4 linked regions of the Rattus norvegicus genome follow. The protein of the gene in region 4 interacts with the protein of the main gene of each other region in a pairwise test. Links are inferred from orthologs where the notes say so. Each region holds a gene or a part of one and is shown on either strand. Other genes may lie near its edges.

Region 1 (4,161 bases), on a different chromosome or scaffold from region 4:
AGGACACCATTCGATTTAGTAGGACTGCACAGCCCGGAAGGGACAGGACCTGGATTAGGAATGAGAGCAATTGTTCTAGCAGGCATTCCCTGACTGCCTGACCTTGGGGAAACCACCTGACATGTCCGACTTAGTTCTATGATCTAGAAAATGACAATGCTCTACCTGATGACCTCAGGGTTTTCTCTCCAGCCCCGTGACTCTCCAACACAGCCATTCCATGGAAAGGAAGCAAATAAGTCAAAGTCTTAAACCACTTACGTCACTAATGAGCTCGGTGCACTTTCTGGCCAGCTCCATGCTTAGGTCTTCAACGACAGGTTTCAGAAACACCTATGTGAAAATTCAAAAGAGAGAGAGGAGGAAGGTCCTGTGTCTCTTTGCCTATTAAAGGACTGAGTTCTGTGGTTGGGCGAATTCTTTCTTGCTCACCTCGTCTTCTGGCTTTTCTTCCTCCTCCACATTTTCCTCTTCGGTTTCCTCTTTCACATCCCCGGATACAGGCACCTTCATCGTTACCCTATGGAGGTATTAATGCTTTCAAACGCGCGTCTTCTCCTGGACCACCGCACCGTGAGCTACAGAGTCTCTGGGGCGCTGGAAGCAACAGGCCTGCCAGACTAATCCCTGGCTCATGTTGCTCTCCTTATCTCAATGGTGTGTCAGTGAACACCCAGGATCCTTGAGGTCTGCCAGGTCCGGCCTTACAAGCGAAAACTCTCTCGGGAGTCAAAGCTCAATTTTACAAACTTAAAATCAACGTTCTTAGGATAGCAAAAGAAACCCAAGACAAAATGTTTTTTTTAATCTTTTACTAACTCAGTTAATTAAAAAAAATGGTCTTAAAGGGACTTGACAATTCTAGAAATCTACTCAGCTGTTAACACCTAAGATATCACAGCCTAAAGCCTGTTATCCCAAAGATTTCTCAACTTGGTCTAAATAAAGCCTCCTCTGGAATGCCAGTCATGGCTCTGTTTCCATATAGAGATCTGTACCATACAAATTCATTTCATTAACTTAAATTAAATGTTTTATGAGATTTTAATGTACTTCTCACATCCCCCAAAACTACTCACTTCATATTAGCTGATTAGAGGCTAATAATTTATTACAAAAAGCCCTTTGAACCACTTCAAAGAATCTATTCTGAGTTAATTACGACTGCTAATCTCAAATTAGGGAATACTGTACCATATTAATTGTAAACATCATTAAACATGAGAAGTTGAAGTTAATATATGTTGATATATTATTTAAGGCTTCAGGAAACATCGCGGCTTTGGAAATAATAATCCCCTGCATTTCTGTCATTGTGTGCATTTCCTTGAACTCACTAGCTATCTTTTATTGTCTCACTGTATCCCACACTTGGAGAACTAAGAAATTACGTTATCATATTTGTTGTGTCGACTATCTTACTAGTTCAATAATTAAGAAAATTCTTCTCACAATAAATCCTTTCTTGTCAATTTAAGCAATTCTAAGAATCTATCATTCCTGATATGTTAATTTGGCTGTTTAAATTTTAGGATAAAATTGCTTTTTATAAAAGTATTGCACATTAGTGATCAGCACTAGAAAAATGCCCCATGGTGACTAATTAAACTAATTACATAAAATACAGTTTTATCCAAAACAATACTTCATTCCAACATAGCAGAGTATATTTTTGATATCACATCTTGTTTTCAATTTCCTTTTAATAAACTATTATAAAATATTTTAAATTAAAAAACTTGAACTTAACAAGAGCTAATGTCTACATATCCCACTGAACATCTATGGGGTAGAATAACCATTTTGAAGTTGTGGGGCTAGCTTCAGGCTACATTTAATATATTCTTAACAATTGAATATAAACATCTGTACATATCCTCATCAATTTTTAAAAGAAAAATGCCCAGCCTTACCTAATAAGTCATTAGAATTCTGCACAACTATCATAAACATACTATTTCTCACATTCTTTCCCAAAAGGCAAAACTGTACCCCCCCCACATGCAAAATGATTGATAAGACAAAAAAGAGTGATCTAAAATAAATCTATTCAAGAAACCTGTAAAGGAATTCTACAGCTGCCGCATCAGTGCCACATGCCAGGGTGACACATGCAAAGATCTGTGATGACCATCAATCAAAAGCCCTACTCAATTTACTAAGCCTTTCCCTTCCAAAACATGGATTTTGTCTGCCTCCTCTCTTCCCATCCCTTCTGCCTACCGTTGTCTCTTAATGGCATCCAGTACCCTCTGGGAAAGACGACTTAGGAAAACATTGTTACATCTGACTATCTTCTATATGACTTGGCTTTCTCATGAAACAGTTTTGGATAGGGGTCAAATTAATGATATCACAGACCCCACTTAACCAGCAAAATGCCAGAAGGAAAACTGTACCCTGAATGCTAAATTGGGAAACTTTGAAATAACAGCCACGTCGTCACTCAAGTCTGCTGGAATTTTTCTCGTATGGTTAGGAATATGTGGTCTGTAGCAGTTTCCCTCATGACCTCTCTCAAAGGCTATTTTGCTCTTCTCTAGAAGCTCCTCTGTACTACCTTGGAGAAGGAAATGCTTTCTATGGATGGATGATTTCTATAAACTTTTCTTCCAAACCTTCAGAAGTATATAGGGAAACAATCCTGCCAACGCTGTCCAAGATGAACCTCTCGGCTGCCACTTCAGATGAGAATGCTTGTGTTGTTGTGGGTGATGTCCGTTTCCATAGAGAATGGCCTGCATGAGACTTGAGCGGTGTCTCTTCTCTTGCTGTGAGTCCTTAATGGTTCTTCACTGGGCTGCAAGAAAATAATCAGTCAAGCTTTAATGCACAAAAGTTTCAATGACACAACCAAACATCACACATGTTGTGAACATATTATTTTTTTTCTTTTGAGAGGTCGGAATCAGCATTTTAAAGTCACCTGGATCCTTAGTAAGTCTTTCAAGCTTGTATTCCCAGCCTCCTTATTAGGAGATGGGAGCAAAACAACCACAAATTCAAAGCCATCCCAAGCTACAGAGTGAGCTTCATGCCACCCTGGATGACTTAGAGAGGTTTCGTCTTAAAATAAACATACAAGGACGGCTAGGGTCATAGCTGGTTTACTGCCGTTTTCTTGTTTCTTTGCAAGGCCTTCTGTTGGACTCCAGTGCTGACATCCATCACAAACCCACGCTTAGAGTGCTTTCCTTCAGAGAGGACAAACTGAAGGCCAGAAACAGTGAACTACTGGCTTCATTTGCAGTGTGGTGTGGTAAGTGCTGTGACTGAGCCCGCTTAGCACACAGCGATGCTGTTGTGCTGGTTCTGCACCAGGTAAAGGAGACACAGTGGTAAGTAACACATATCCTGGGAGGAAAAATAAAACACCTCAAACCTTGCTGGGTGACCTCTTTAATGGACTTTCTGGCAAGCCACACACACACCATTACATTTGATTTAATGCATCTTCTTTTCATTTACATTAGAGGATAATATAAAATTCTTGTCAAGTTTCCTCTAAAAATTTAAACCCTGATGTTATCACAGTCAAGCTTTTCTGTCAGTAGGTCTAAAAATCTGACTTGGGGAATTTTTTAAAAAAGGATTCTTTGTGGGTAGTTATTATGTTTCAAAAATACCTATCCTTCTTATTCATAAATCCTAGTTTAATGTTGTATACCAATACATACTTTCACCCCCAGAGGGAATATCTCCACAGCTGCTAATCTCCTGGCTACTTTCATACTCTTTATGTTCTTTGTCTACATTTCTATTTTGCTCCTCTCTCCATGAAGTGATACAGAATGAGACATAAGAACATGGGGGATCACATTTCTCATGGTGAAGCCATGGAATTCCAAATCTGGCTTAACCATACTTTCTACCAAGGATCCTACCATGCTTCCCCGCCTCCATTTTGTCATAAATTAGAATGGCACTTTCATAAAAAGAAATCGCTTGAATTTTCAGTTACAAGATGAAGGTGTATAGTTATAAGAAAAGCACCAGGTACAAAAGGGTCTCAGTCTTTCAAAGGGTGAAGAAGGGCATCCCTCAGCAGCCTAAGAGTACAATAATAATAATAATAATAATAATAATAATAATAATAATAATGACAATGACAATAATAATTTTGAAGGCTCCTAAACTTGTGATAGCATGATGTGTACACAT
Region 2 (4,124 bases), on a different chromosome or scaffold from region 4:
TCAGAATAATAAAGCTGTCTCATCATCAACAGCATGTCTGCAGTAAACATTCTTTGTAGTGTCTAGTGCTTCTCTTTAAGGTCATGCCCTGTTACAGTAACTGAAGACAATGTGGGAACAGGTCCAACAGGAGAGCTCCTCACCCCCACTCGCAGCAACTCCTTTTCCACCTGGTCCAGCCTTTTCTGCTTAGACGCAGCAGAGTACAGGGCGGTTGCATAGCGGCCTTCGATGCCGTAGACCTGGACAGGGGGCTGGAGACAAGAGGAGGAGGGGAGTGAGGTAGCTAAGCCAGGAACAGAATCACTCCTAAGCTAAGACCACGTTCCCACTGCCACACCATTTAAATACTTCACCAAGGGGCAGCCTAAGTGAGAATTCACAAACCAGGGATGACTCCCTGGCCAGGACCTGCCCTAACTTTGGAGGGGCAGGGAAGGCAGTGTCCCGTGTCCCTCCCAGCCTCCCTGCCTGCAACTGTTATGGCAAGCTTTTGCTTTCTTTGACCTCATGACCCCAGTGACAGTGCTGTCCTTAAGCACAGGAGTTTACTTAGTACCATGGCAGGCAGTTGTGAAGGTAAGCGGAGGGGGACAGCGTGTAAGAAGTGCAGGCGTGCGTCCCCATCATGGTAATGGTGTTTTATGAAGTTCTCGGGAGGGATAAAATGGCTCCACCCACAGAGGATGAAGGGATTTGGTGGTGTTAGGAAGTGTAGTGTGTACTGCTGTTAGTCCCATCTCACGTGCCCCAGAGCATTCTGCCTTGCTAGTCCTGAGGAGAGTGTGAGTGCAGTGACTGACCCAGGTGTCAGAGAGCACACGGCAGCCCAGAGTATCCTTACATTCTGCCATGCATGAACGAGTAATAAAGGATTACAAAACAAATGCACACACAGCCACACTCCAATCCGAATTCCGTAAGAGGGTGGAGCTGCCTGCATGGGGGTCAGTCAGACTCCTGGTTTAAAAAGAAAAGGGGTGTTGGGGATTTAGCTCAGTGGTAGAGCGCTTGGCCCTGGGTTCGGTCCCCAGCTCCGAAAAAAAAAAAGAAAAAAAAAAAAAAAAAGAAAAAAAAGAAAGAGGCCAGCAGACCTCTGCAATGCTCAGTCAGACTGTTGTTGGTGCCTGGAACAGTACCTGTCAGTGTTGACTCTACTTGAGGGAAAAAAGGTGCAGACTGCAGGCATACCTCACTGCTGCCAGAGTCAAGAGGCAACACAGAGTATCGACTATGTTAGAATCTGGGTACTTTACTTTCTTTTGTTACAAATAGCTCCTTCATAAAAAGAGAAGGAAAGGCTAGCTTGTCTATGGAGGAATACTAGAAAAAACAATTTAAGATTCTTTTATACATACCCTGTGTGTGTGTTGTCATCACCAGCCTTTACCGACTGAGCCCTCTTGCTGGCCCAAACAAGTACATTTTAGAACATTAAAGACTAGGGTTGAGCCCACCCTATGTGACAGGCACCTGACAGCATCCCCTGCATCCCAGGCAGTCGTTTGAGAACTGCTATCCTTGCAGACCAAGTTTAGTAATCGCACACACACTTCACGGTGTTTCTGTTCAACTCACTCCCTCACTGCTTTCCAACCACCCCCCCCCCACAGACAAATGCAAGCTGACATACCCTTACAAGCTTCGAAAAGGGCCTGACCACAGATGTGCTGAAACTCCGCACCTTTAGAACAGAAGAAAATAGATGAGACAGGGTTTCTGCATTAGCTTAGCAATAGGTTAAAATATTCCAATCAAAGAGCTGCATAATTCTTTTACATTATCGTCACAAAGCTTACATGACTGGGAACTGCTCCTTATTACCTATACATTCCCTATTGAGAGTCACCCCAAACTGCTTCAGAAACTGTCTTTCAACTGCCTTCCTCCCTGGGTAGTTGAGAAAGAAAATGCTAGCTTCTCAAAATTGAATTTAAAAAAAAAAAAAAAAAAGTCAAGAGCTTTATCACATTTGAGGAAAATGCTTTAGCAAAGTGGAGGATTTATATTTCTATCACCTTTGGGAAAAACTTTAATGAACATAAGAGGAGGCCAGCCTTGATTCGAGTAAACCTATGTGCTAAGGAATTGAAGTGATATCAAACACCAAAGATCTTTTCATATAGCACCAGGCACTGAGTCTGTCACTGGAGAAGCCTGGAATGCCATTTAAAAAGCACCTCTCAAGGGCACAGGTCACTGTCTATACTCCCATCTCTAGGGTGTACTCGACTAGAACTGGCTATGAGGGTTAAAAAGCTTTCTCAGGCCTTGATAAAAATTATGAATTAAGTACAAATTAAAATCATCAGGGCAGATGATCCACCCAATTCCAGTTTCTGCTGGACTTGGCCCGTTGCAATCTCACCACTTACTGGCTGCCAGCCAAAGAAGAGGTTTAACCCTTTCTTCCTTCTTTATAAACACATGGAATGCGCTTTACGAACACTCAATACTGCCAAGCAGCAGCTAGCCCTGGCAGGTTTACGAACAAGGCTAGACGTGTGCTTTCCCCAATTCTCTCTCCCATGCTTTTGCCAGCTGCTCAGCTATGCATCGACTCTTGGATGTCAAGGTCAAGATAGCGCAATTCGTGCCCACTCCCCACGGGGGAAAAAACGCGAATCAGCCCCACGCTTCCTGAAATGGCCGGGCCCCACGACCCTGGTGGGCGGCTTGACCCCTCAGCCACAGCCTCACACGCAGCGCTGGGAGTCGGGGACCGGGAACCCCAGGAGGGACCCTCCCGTCAGCTTCTACCTGTCGGGACAGCACGGATGTTGCTGGTGCGGCCATCTTTTCCCGGGCAGCTGTAGGTCAAACCCAAGTAAGAGACTAGTGATGCCAGAGCGCATGCGCGCGTCGGCGTGATCGCTCGGTTTTCTGGGAAATGAACGCACCAGGAGCCGGGGCGTGTGGGTAAGAACCTCTTGCACGCTGGGAGTTGTAGTCCATAGGTGCCGTGGTCCCGCTAGACTCTTGAACCCGAACAAGATCGGAAAATTAAATCTGAAACTAGGTTTACATTTAGATTCTTTGCATATGCATCGTCAACATCTCTGCCATGTCTAGAACCTGTCAAAGTGTGGTTCTGTGACAATGCTTCAGGCTTTACTTAAAACAAAAAAACCACAAGCGAATCTCCCAGGGGATAACGTCTTGCTTGGCTCTTCTGGCCTGATAGTTTTCCCTTTCCTTCTCAGTCTTATCATAGCCCTGACTTGTTAGATTTTGACTCTGTGTGCATTTCAGGACAGAGTTAATCCAGAACTAGAATCAGGGTTTAATCAAAGATGATGTAGAAAGTTAAAAACCCAGCACACCTTGGCCGGTTTTTCTATATTCATTTTCAACACACACACTCTTTTCCGCAATTAAAAAAAAAAGGTCAACATCCGACGACAAGGTTCCCGGTTGTAACGCGGTGTTCTGTGCTAAATTTAAAAGAAAAAAACAAAACAAAACAAAAACCCCCCTCTGCTTAGATGTAGTATAGGAATACATTTTAGTTGATTGGTCATTTTTAATATATATGTATGTATGCCTATGTATAATCATCATCATCATCACCATCACTGTCATCAGGAGAAAAGTAGGAGAATACACCCCCTTCTTTTCAACCACCCTGAGTCTTGTGCTGTTAACACAGTTGGGAATTGTTTACCCAAATATTTTTAGTCGGCAGACTGCCCAGGCTTGAATCTTTAGAGTTTTGTGACCTCGGCCTCTAAGCACACAATTTCCCTGTGCCTCAGTTTTCTGAGCTATAAAATCGTTATTCATAGTATTGTAGACCATTGCCTTACACTGTGTTGGGAAAATTAACATATTTTGGGTGCATAGAGCAGTTGACAGTTCTTTATTTTGTGTTTGTGCTTTTTATACATGCAGATATATATAATTTAGCAAAATATATAATTTTGCTTTTTACCTTAATATGAGGGAAGATGGATAGAAAATTATATGGGTTGCAAATACATTCCTTTAAAAATGGTTTTATGTGTATGCGTGTTTTCCTTCATGTATTTATGTGCACCATGTGTGCCTGTTGCTTGAGAGTCCAGAAAAGGACTTTGTGTCCCTTGGAGCTGCAGTTAGAGATGGTTGTGAGGTGCCAGGGGACG
Region 3 (3,094 bases), on a different chromosome or scaffold from region 4:
TTTGTCCCTTAATATATTTGAAACTACTCAACTTTTATTCTCCCTAAATGTTTACTTTCTTAATTTATTACATAAAGCATCGAGGCTGTAACAATTATATACTCTGTGCAAGATGACACTAAACCATATCATCACCATTAAGCAGAAACCTGGAGTTTTGTGAACTTTGAGTTTTTTATATAAATGGCTCTCTGTTATCAACTTGCCTTCTCAAAATCTGTGATTCTGAGGTCAGAAGGACACAGCTGCCACATAAACACTGACCACTTATCACCATGTGCACAAAAACACGTTCCTGCGTGGCTAGAAAGTGTAACTCCTAACCACTTTGAGAAACCGTTTTTGAATGAACAGAGCAAGGTTGTTGTTCTTCCCTACTCCCCGGAAGATAGGGCATGAAAAGCAAACACATTATTATAAAACCAAAAACGACGAATGTGTGGTTTGACGGCCAGACCCTGAATTTATGTTCAGTATCTGATGGGGACCAGTGACTCTGGGCATGTCTGTCCTGGCTTTTCTCCTGTTTCTCCATGATTGCTGTTATTTTCAGCTATGGTCATCACAATCACCTTTGTCCCTTTCTTCCTCCTTCCAACTCTGCGTTAAATTCCAGGAACTTGTTTGCTGTGAAGTCTAGAATCTGTCTTGAAGCAAGCTTGCTCTGTGACCTAACTTGCCTGGGAAAGGAAGGGACGGTAGAAGTCAGTGTGTTGTTAAGGAGTCTTAACTTGCTGTTTAAATGAAATACAGTGTCAGATTGCTCCCTTCTGATGGACTTAGGAGGTACGAGTTCTGCCTTCTATCCGAGATTGTATTTGGATCAAAGACATTAAAATTACAGATGTTAATTCTTATGAAGGTTGCATCTAATAACCCTGCCAAGTAGTTCAACAAGTGTCTGCTGTTTGTACTGCAACTCTTGCAGCCAATAGCTGCTGGGACTGATTTAATGCAGCTGGAGACTAGCACGAACAATCATTATAGCCTGAAAAGTGTGCACCAAGTTCACTGTACTTTTGCTTTTCTCTTCAGTCTAAGGACCAATTAATGATCGTCAGAAGGTCCTTGAAATGTTTTTTCATTGTATTATGATTCAAGAATTAGTTGGAAGGAGAGGTGAGCTTTGGGGCAGGCCAGTACTGTTTAACAGGTGAGAGGTTGTTTTGCTAAGGATTCACTTTAGCTGTGAGAGAGCAATCGTTTCATCTGAGACTGCCAGGCTTCATCTGCACGCCCAACCCCACCTGATAAAAAAAAAAACAAAACAAAAAAACAAAAAACCAACCTTGCTGAGCAGCAAGACGTGAGAGCACAGTTGTGGCTGGTTTTGAGAATACAAGAAGAAGGGAAATGGGATGAAGGCGGAAACCTTCAGCCATGCTTCCAAACTTCCCTGGGTGTTCCTGGTCATTTCTCTCTAGCGTCTCTTGTGACTGTCCCATCTGAGGGTGTAATGCCTTCGCCTCTCATCCTGTGTCGCTACCTCCCTCGCGAGCTGTCGCCAACGGTGGACTCGAGGTCCTGCAGCAGCCCCTTGGTGGCCTCGAGGAAGGCGGGGAAGTTCCTGGGGGCCACTCCTCCTCGGGCCCCGCGGCTGTCACGCCGGCTGGCCTGGTGCTTCATAGACTGGGGACAGGTATGCCTGCTGCATAGGCTGGGTTCTGGAGGGTTTGGCTCGGTGTACAAAGCCACTTACCACGGTGTTCCTGTGGCCATCAAGCAAGTGAACAAGTGCACCAGGAACCTACGTGCATCCCAGCGGAGTTTCTGGGCTGAACTGAACATTGCAAGGCTGCACCACGACAACATAGTCCGGGTTGTGGCTGCCAGCACGCGCACGCCGGAAGGTTCCAACAGCCTTGGTACCATAATCATGGAGTTTGGGGGCAATGTGACTCTACACCAAGTCATCTACGGTGCCACCCGCTCCCCAGAGCCTCTCAGCTGCAGAGAGCAACTGAGTTTGGGAAAGTGCCTCAAGTATTCCCTAGATATTGTTAACGGCCTGCTTTTTCTCCACTCACAAAGCATTTTGCACTTGGACCTGAAGCCAGCGAACATTTTGATCAGTGAGAAGGACGTTTGTAAGATAAGTGACTTCGGCTGCTCCCAGAAGCTTCAGGATCTGCGGTGCCGGCAGGCGTCCCTTCACCACATCGGGGGCACGTACACGCACCAAGCTCCGGAGCTCCTGAAAGGAGAGATCGCCACGCCCAAAGCCGACATCTACTCTTTTGGCATCACCCTGTGGCAGATGACCACCAGGGAGGTGCCTTACTCCGGCGAGCCTCAGTACGTGCAGTACGCAGTGGTAGCCTACAATCTGCGCCCGTCACTGGCAGGGGCGGTGTTCACCGCCTCCCTGACTGGGAAGACGCTGCAGAACATCGTCCAGAGCTGCTGGGAGGCCCGCGCCCTGCAGAGGCCGGGTGCAGAACTGCTCCAGAAGGACCTGAAGGCTTTCCGAGGGGCACTGGGCTGACTCCATCGAGCCTGTGTGCAGATAAGCTTTTCGTTTCTGTTTATTTTTAAATAAGTAAGGATGGGCTTTTAGGGCATATTTTTAGAAAATAAAGTTACTACAAACTTCAGCCTGAAGTGCCTTTCCTAAGACTAACGAGGGTACAGATATCATGGGCACCACTCACGGTTGTTAAACAACCTGAGCCCTTTGTGTGTCACCTTTCTGGGTCTACTGTATCATTTCCGTAGTAAGGTTTGTTCCTGAATGAAAAGAGAAAGGGGGTGGGAGGAGGGGGCACTACTCCTAGGAATGAAGGAGAAAGTTTATTGCGGATACGAGGGAGACATAGGACATAGTCATAGACATGGACATCTGGCTGAGAAAGCCCAGAGCGGACATGTTCCTGAGCCATGTGAGAAGTAGTAGGAGGAGAAGGGGGAAGGAAGACAGAAGTAGGTACAGCAGCTGGAAGATTCAAAACGGGAGGGGGAGCTAAAATGGATTATATAAGAAAGGACAGCTGGGGAAAGGGCAGCCCAGTCCCTGGGTTGGAGAAGTTTAGGGCAGAGGGTGGGGCGTGCCAGTCTGGAGCACTCTGTAGTAGACAGGGACTGAGGGATGCAGGGA
Region 4 (3,500 bases):
TACCTCTAAGCTACATCCCCAGTCTTCATTATATTGTAAAACCTTTAGTAAAATAGGAGCCATTGCTGAATTTGGGTTAAAGCTACATCAGCCTCTGATTCTCAGAACCAGGAATTTTAAAGTCAGGTAAAATCTCAGCGGTTGGTACACCAGCATGTCTTTCACTTGTTGTAGGCTACAGCACTGTACGAGGTCTTGAAGCAAATCAGGGATCCAGTGGATCTCTCAACTGAGTGGGAGAGAAGAAAGCCAGCGAAATGCAAGCCCTGCGATGGAGCGGCAACCAGACTGTACCCTTCTCAATCTTCTATGTCACAACGGCCTTTCCCAGGGACACAGTCTTCTTTCTACTGGGAGAGGTGGGAGCCAGAGCACCTTTGCAGAATGTGACCTCACCATCTCCCAAGACTCTTAAGCCTCTTCTCCAAAGGGCTCCACTCCTCTCCAGTTCTATCATGATCCAAGGCTGATAGTGCTCAACAGGGGAAATGGCACTGGCTGACACCAATCTAATACACCACAGGAAAAGTGAACAAGCCCTTATGTATCACTGCTGGAACTATTTTCTTAAAGAAAGTGGGACAAAAATATTGTTCTGTACCATGCTGGGTATGGTGGTACATGCCTGTAATCTGAGCAATAAAGGCGGAAGCAGGAGGATTGCCACAAGTTCAAGAGTAACCTAGTCTAAACACTGAGACTCTGTCTCAACACTCCTATCCACCCCCCAACCCCCCCAAAAATAACATTTTGTTTAATTTGAAGCAAAATTCAAGATTTGATAATTTACTTCAAGTCTTACTATATCCTAAAAGACCACTGGTTCTTTTAATACTCAAATCAGCATTCTGGGTACAGACTACAACCTTAAAATCACTTGCAACCTGTTTCAGAAATCTGGCTCTATTCTCTTTAGTTTAAACATGTGTCTGTGCCTCTCTTCAAATGATGAGACTTTGATACAGTTTCAATGCCAATGTAGAAATACATATATACATGGGGTCATATGAAAAACAGATGTTTATACTGACTGAGATCCAATGTATCGATCAACTAAGCTATGGTTCTTATTCAAGTCAAGCTCAAGATGAACTGTTTTAAGGCCAGTAGACATGGGTCTGTCTTTGTCTTCTGCATTTAGCTGGGTGACCTCATCCCTTGTTTTTGTTTCTCCTCTCTCCCAAGCTGGTGCCAAAAGCACTTAGCACTCTCAAGTACAATTACCTTGTTGGGGCGGTTTCCACTGTCTTCACAAAAGGAATGGCTGGACTTGAGCTCTGTCAGCTCCTGCTGGCAGAGCATGAAGTCCTGCTCCAGCTGGTCATACATGTGCTTCTGCCGTTCCAGCTCATCCCTGCTGCACTGATACAATCCCTTCATCTCCTGTAGCTGGAGGTGTATCCCTGAATTCTGTGTAGGGAAGGCAGAGCCATCACCCATGGGATGTACGACTACTGCCTCACTCTGGACCTTCCCAGCCTACTTTCCAACCCAGACTTCATCCCAGCCAGGGAGAACCACACAGACCTATCCTTAACAGGTTTGACGCCCTGACCTGTGAGGCTTCCTCCTGAAGGAAGCAACAGGATTCCTTTCTGTAGACTGATTTTCTGGTTTAAAATAAAAGGAAACTGAGGATATCTCTATAGCAGCTCTCTCTGCATGTCCTGGGTCCACCTCACAGCAGCTCCTCCACAGAACTCCGACAATCCCACTCTGCTTACCCTCACAGAAGATCCTGCCTGGCTATGTGCTCCTGGCCTGGCCTTCCTTTTACCTTCTCATTTCTCTCTCGCAAGCAGTCCACCATCTCTCGGAGACGATGCATCTCTGACTCATGGCACCGCAGCTTGTCGTGCAGGTGATGCTGGACTTCTAGAAGCTGTTCCTTCTCATTCACACTGCACTGGTGCTGGGCCTGCAGCTTCTGGAGCCGGCACATTAACTCCTGCATGCAGGGGACTTTGGGTAGTGGTGCTGGGTTTTATGACCTTGCTCTTCTCCTGACTCAGCCACTGACCACCTGAGAATCTACCTCCTCCTTTTACTTGCCACTTGTGCCTCCCACCTATGCAGAACTGGAAGAAGACAGTCATCTTTTTGGTTTGTTTATAAACAAATGCAATCTAATCCCATGAAATCCAGTCTATGTAGCTGGCCCTGGCCTTGAACTCCTGATACCTCTGCTTCTATCTTCTCAGTTCTGTCTGTCATAACAGATATGCTCTATCACACTAGGTTCAAAAACCAGTTGCCCCCTTTTGATTTGTTTCAGTGCTGGGAGTTGAGCCTAGGACCTCACACATGCTATGCAGGCAGTCTACCAAAAGCCATATCCCCAGCTCTGGAGTTACCATTATTTGTATTCCCCAAGACCTCAGTCAGCACTGCTGGCCCCTCCACTGTCCCTTTACCTTTGGCACTGTTACCTTCTCACTCTGGCTCTCTACAGGTGTGCATCTGACGAGTTTGAGCTGCTGGAGCTCAGACTGAAGCTGCATCTGCACCTTCAGAAGCTCACTGTGTTCATCCTGGCTAGTATCATACTTTTGCTGCAGGGCACAGAGCCTGCTCTTCAGTTCCTCATTCTGTAGTGGAGAGGGTGAGTAGAGCAGTTACTCTCAAGAAGTAGCAGGGCCCTATCCAGGCCTCTGTGATAGATAGTTTTCTGAGGCAGAGACCTTGAGAAGAAGCTCTCTGGATCTATGTCTGAGTTTCTTCAGTGATGAAAACACTCAACAATGACACCTTTCCACATGCCATCCTATGCGGCTTCTATATGCAGGGGCTTTGGGTGGTGCTGTTGGGTTCTGGTCATAGGGTACGAGTTGCAGAGTTCAGCCTCACTCCTGAGGTCCAGCCTCCCTGGAGGCTGTGACTCTGAGCCCTGCTGCCCTTCCCCTGGCAGTGTTTACCTGGGTGGTGTGGCAGGTCTGAAACCGGAGCACCTCGTTCTGGGCACACTTGAGCTCCCTCTGCAGCCGCTTCTGCTCCTCCTCACTGGTTCTGCGGTGATGCTGCAGCTCTTCCAATTCACAGCACAAGTTCTTACACTGTGTGGAAAATGGAATGGGGCTGATTTATAGTAGAGCTCACATATTCACGTGCGCATGCGCGCGCCGAAATGAGAAAATATGTCATTCCTTTGATCAGAATATAGTCAGGTACCACATGATAATGTAGACTCATGCTGAGAAATCTGTCACCACACTACTGAACTATCGTGTAACCATTATAGAGTACACTTACACAAACTTAGATAAGCACGGCACGTGTGTCTGTGACTGTGCTTTACTGCTCCCGGGATGCTAATGTATACCCTGACAGTGAACTAAGCACAAATGGAAAAGAGGCCATTAATAGAGGCAACAGATACGAGACATTTGAAGATGCTGTCAGCATAACATGGCATCCTGGTCTTTTTGTTCTTGTCGGTGTTTTCTGAGACAGAATTTCTCTGTGTAGTCCTGGACATCTTGGAACTTCTTCAGGCTGGCCTC

The links. The genes of interacting proteins can lie anywhere in the genome.
Region 1: the proteins of Ccdc136 (region 4) and Nebl interact in a two-hybrid assay, tested with the Homo sapiens proteins (2 studies listed by BioGRID and IntAct). The two-hybrid records come from large-scale screens. The link is inferred for Rattus norvegicus from reciprocal best matches to the Homo sapiens genes CCDC136 and NEBL.
Region 2: the proteins of Ccdc136 (region 4) and Atp5po interact in binary tests that used the Homo sapiens proteins (3 or more experiments, as listed by UniProt). The two-hybrid records come from large-scale screens. The link is inferred for Rattus norvegicus from reciprocal best matches to the Homo sapiens genes CCDC136 and ATP5PO.
Region 3: the proteins of Ccdc136 (region 4) and Mos interact in binary tests that used the Homo sapiens proteins (3 or more experiments, as listed by UniProt). The two-hybrid records come from large-scale screens. The link is inferred for Rattus norvegicus from reciprocal best matches to the Homo sapiens genes CCDC136 and MOS.

The regions. Positions count from the first base shown.
Region 1 is NC_086035.1:85,132,497-85,136,657, forward strand, and holds the start of Nebl (nebulette), read right to left. Parts: upstream 2,801-4,161; 5' UTR 2,619-2,800; intron 2,606-2,618; exon of another isoform or gene 521-2,605; 5' UTR 514-520; coding exon 433-513; intron 334-432; coding exon 262-333; intron 1-261. UniProt on the Homo sapiens protein: Binds to actin and plays an important role in the assembly of the Z-disk. May functionally link sarcomeric actin to the desmin intermediate filaments in the heart muscle sarcomeres.
Region 2 is NC_086029.1:44,654,684-44,658,807, forward strand, and holds the start of Atp5po (ATP synthase subunit O, mitochondrial precursor), read right to left. Parts: upstream 2,801-4,124; 5' UTR 2,797-2,800; coding exon 2,761-2,796; intron 1,685-2,760; coding exon 1,634-1,684; intron 255-1,633; coding exon 144-254; intron 1-143. UniProt on the Homo sapiens protein: Subunit OSCP, of the mitochondrial membrane ATP synthase complex (F(1)F(0) ATP synthase or Complex V) that produces ATP from ADP in the presence of a proton gradient across the membrane which is generated by electron transport complexes of the respiratory chain.
Region 3 is NC_086023.1:21,657,049-21,660,142, reverse strand, and holds Mos (proto-oncogene serine/threonine-protein kinase mos), read left to right. Parts: upstream 1-1,286; 5' UTR 1,287-1,456; coding exon 1,457-2,485; 3' UTR 2,486-2,594; downstream 2,595-3,094.
Region 4 is NC_086022.1:58,976,696-58,980,195, reverse strand, and holds part of Ccdc136 (coiled-coil domain-containing protein 136), read right to left. Parts: intron 3,054-3,500; coding exon 2,916-3,053; intron 2,589-2,915; coding exon 2,430-2,588; intron 1,949-2,429; coding exon 1,778-1,948; intron 1,411-1,777; coding exon 1,225-1,410; intron 1-1,224. UniProt on the Homo sapiens protein: May play a role in acrosome formation in spermatogenesis and in fertilization.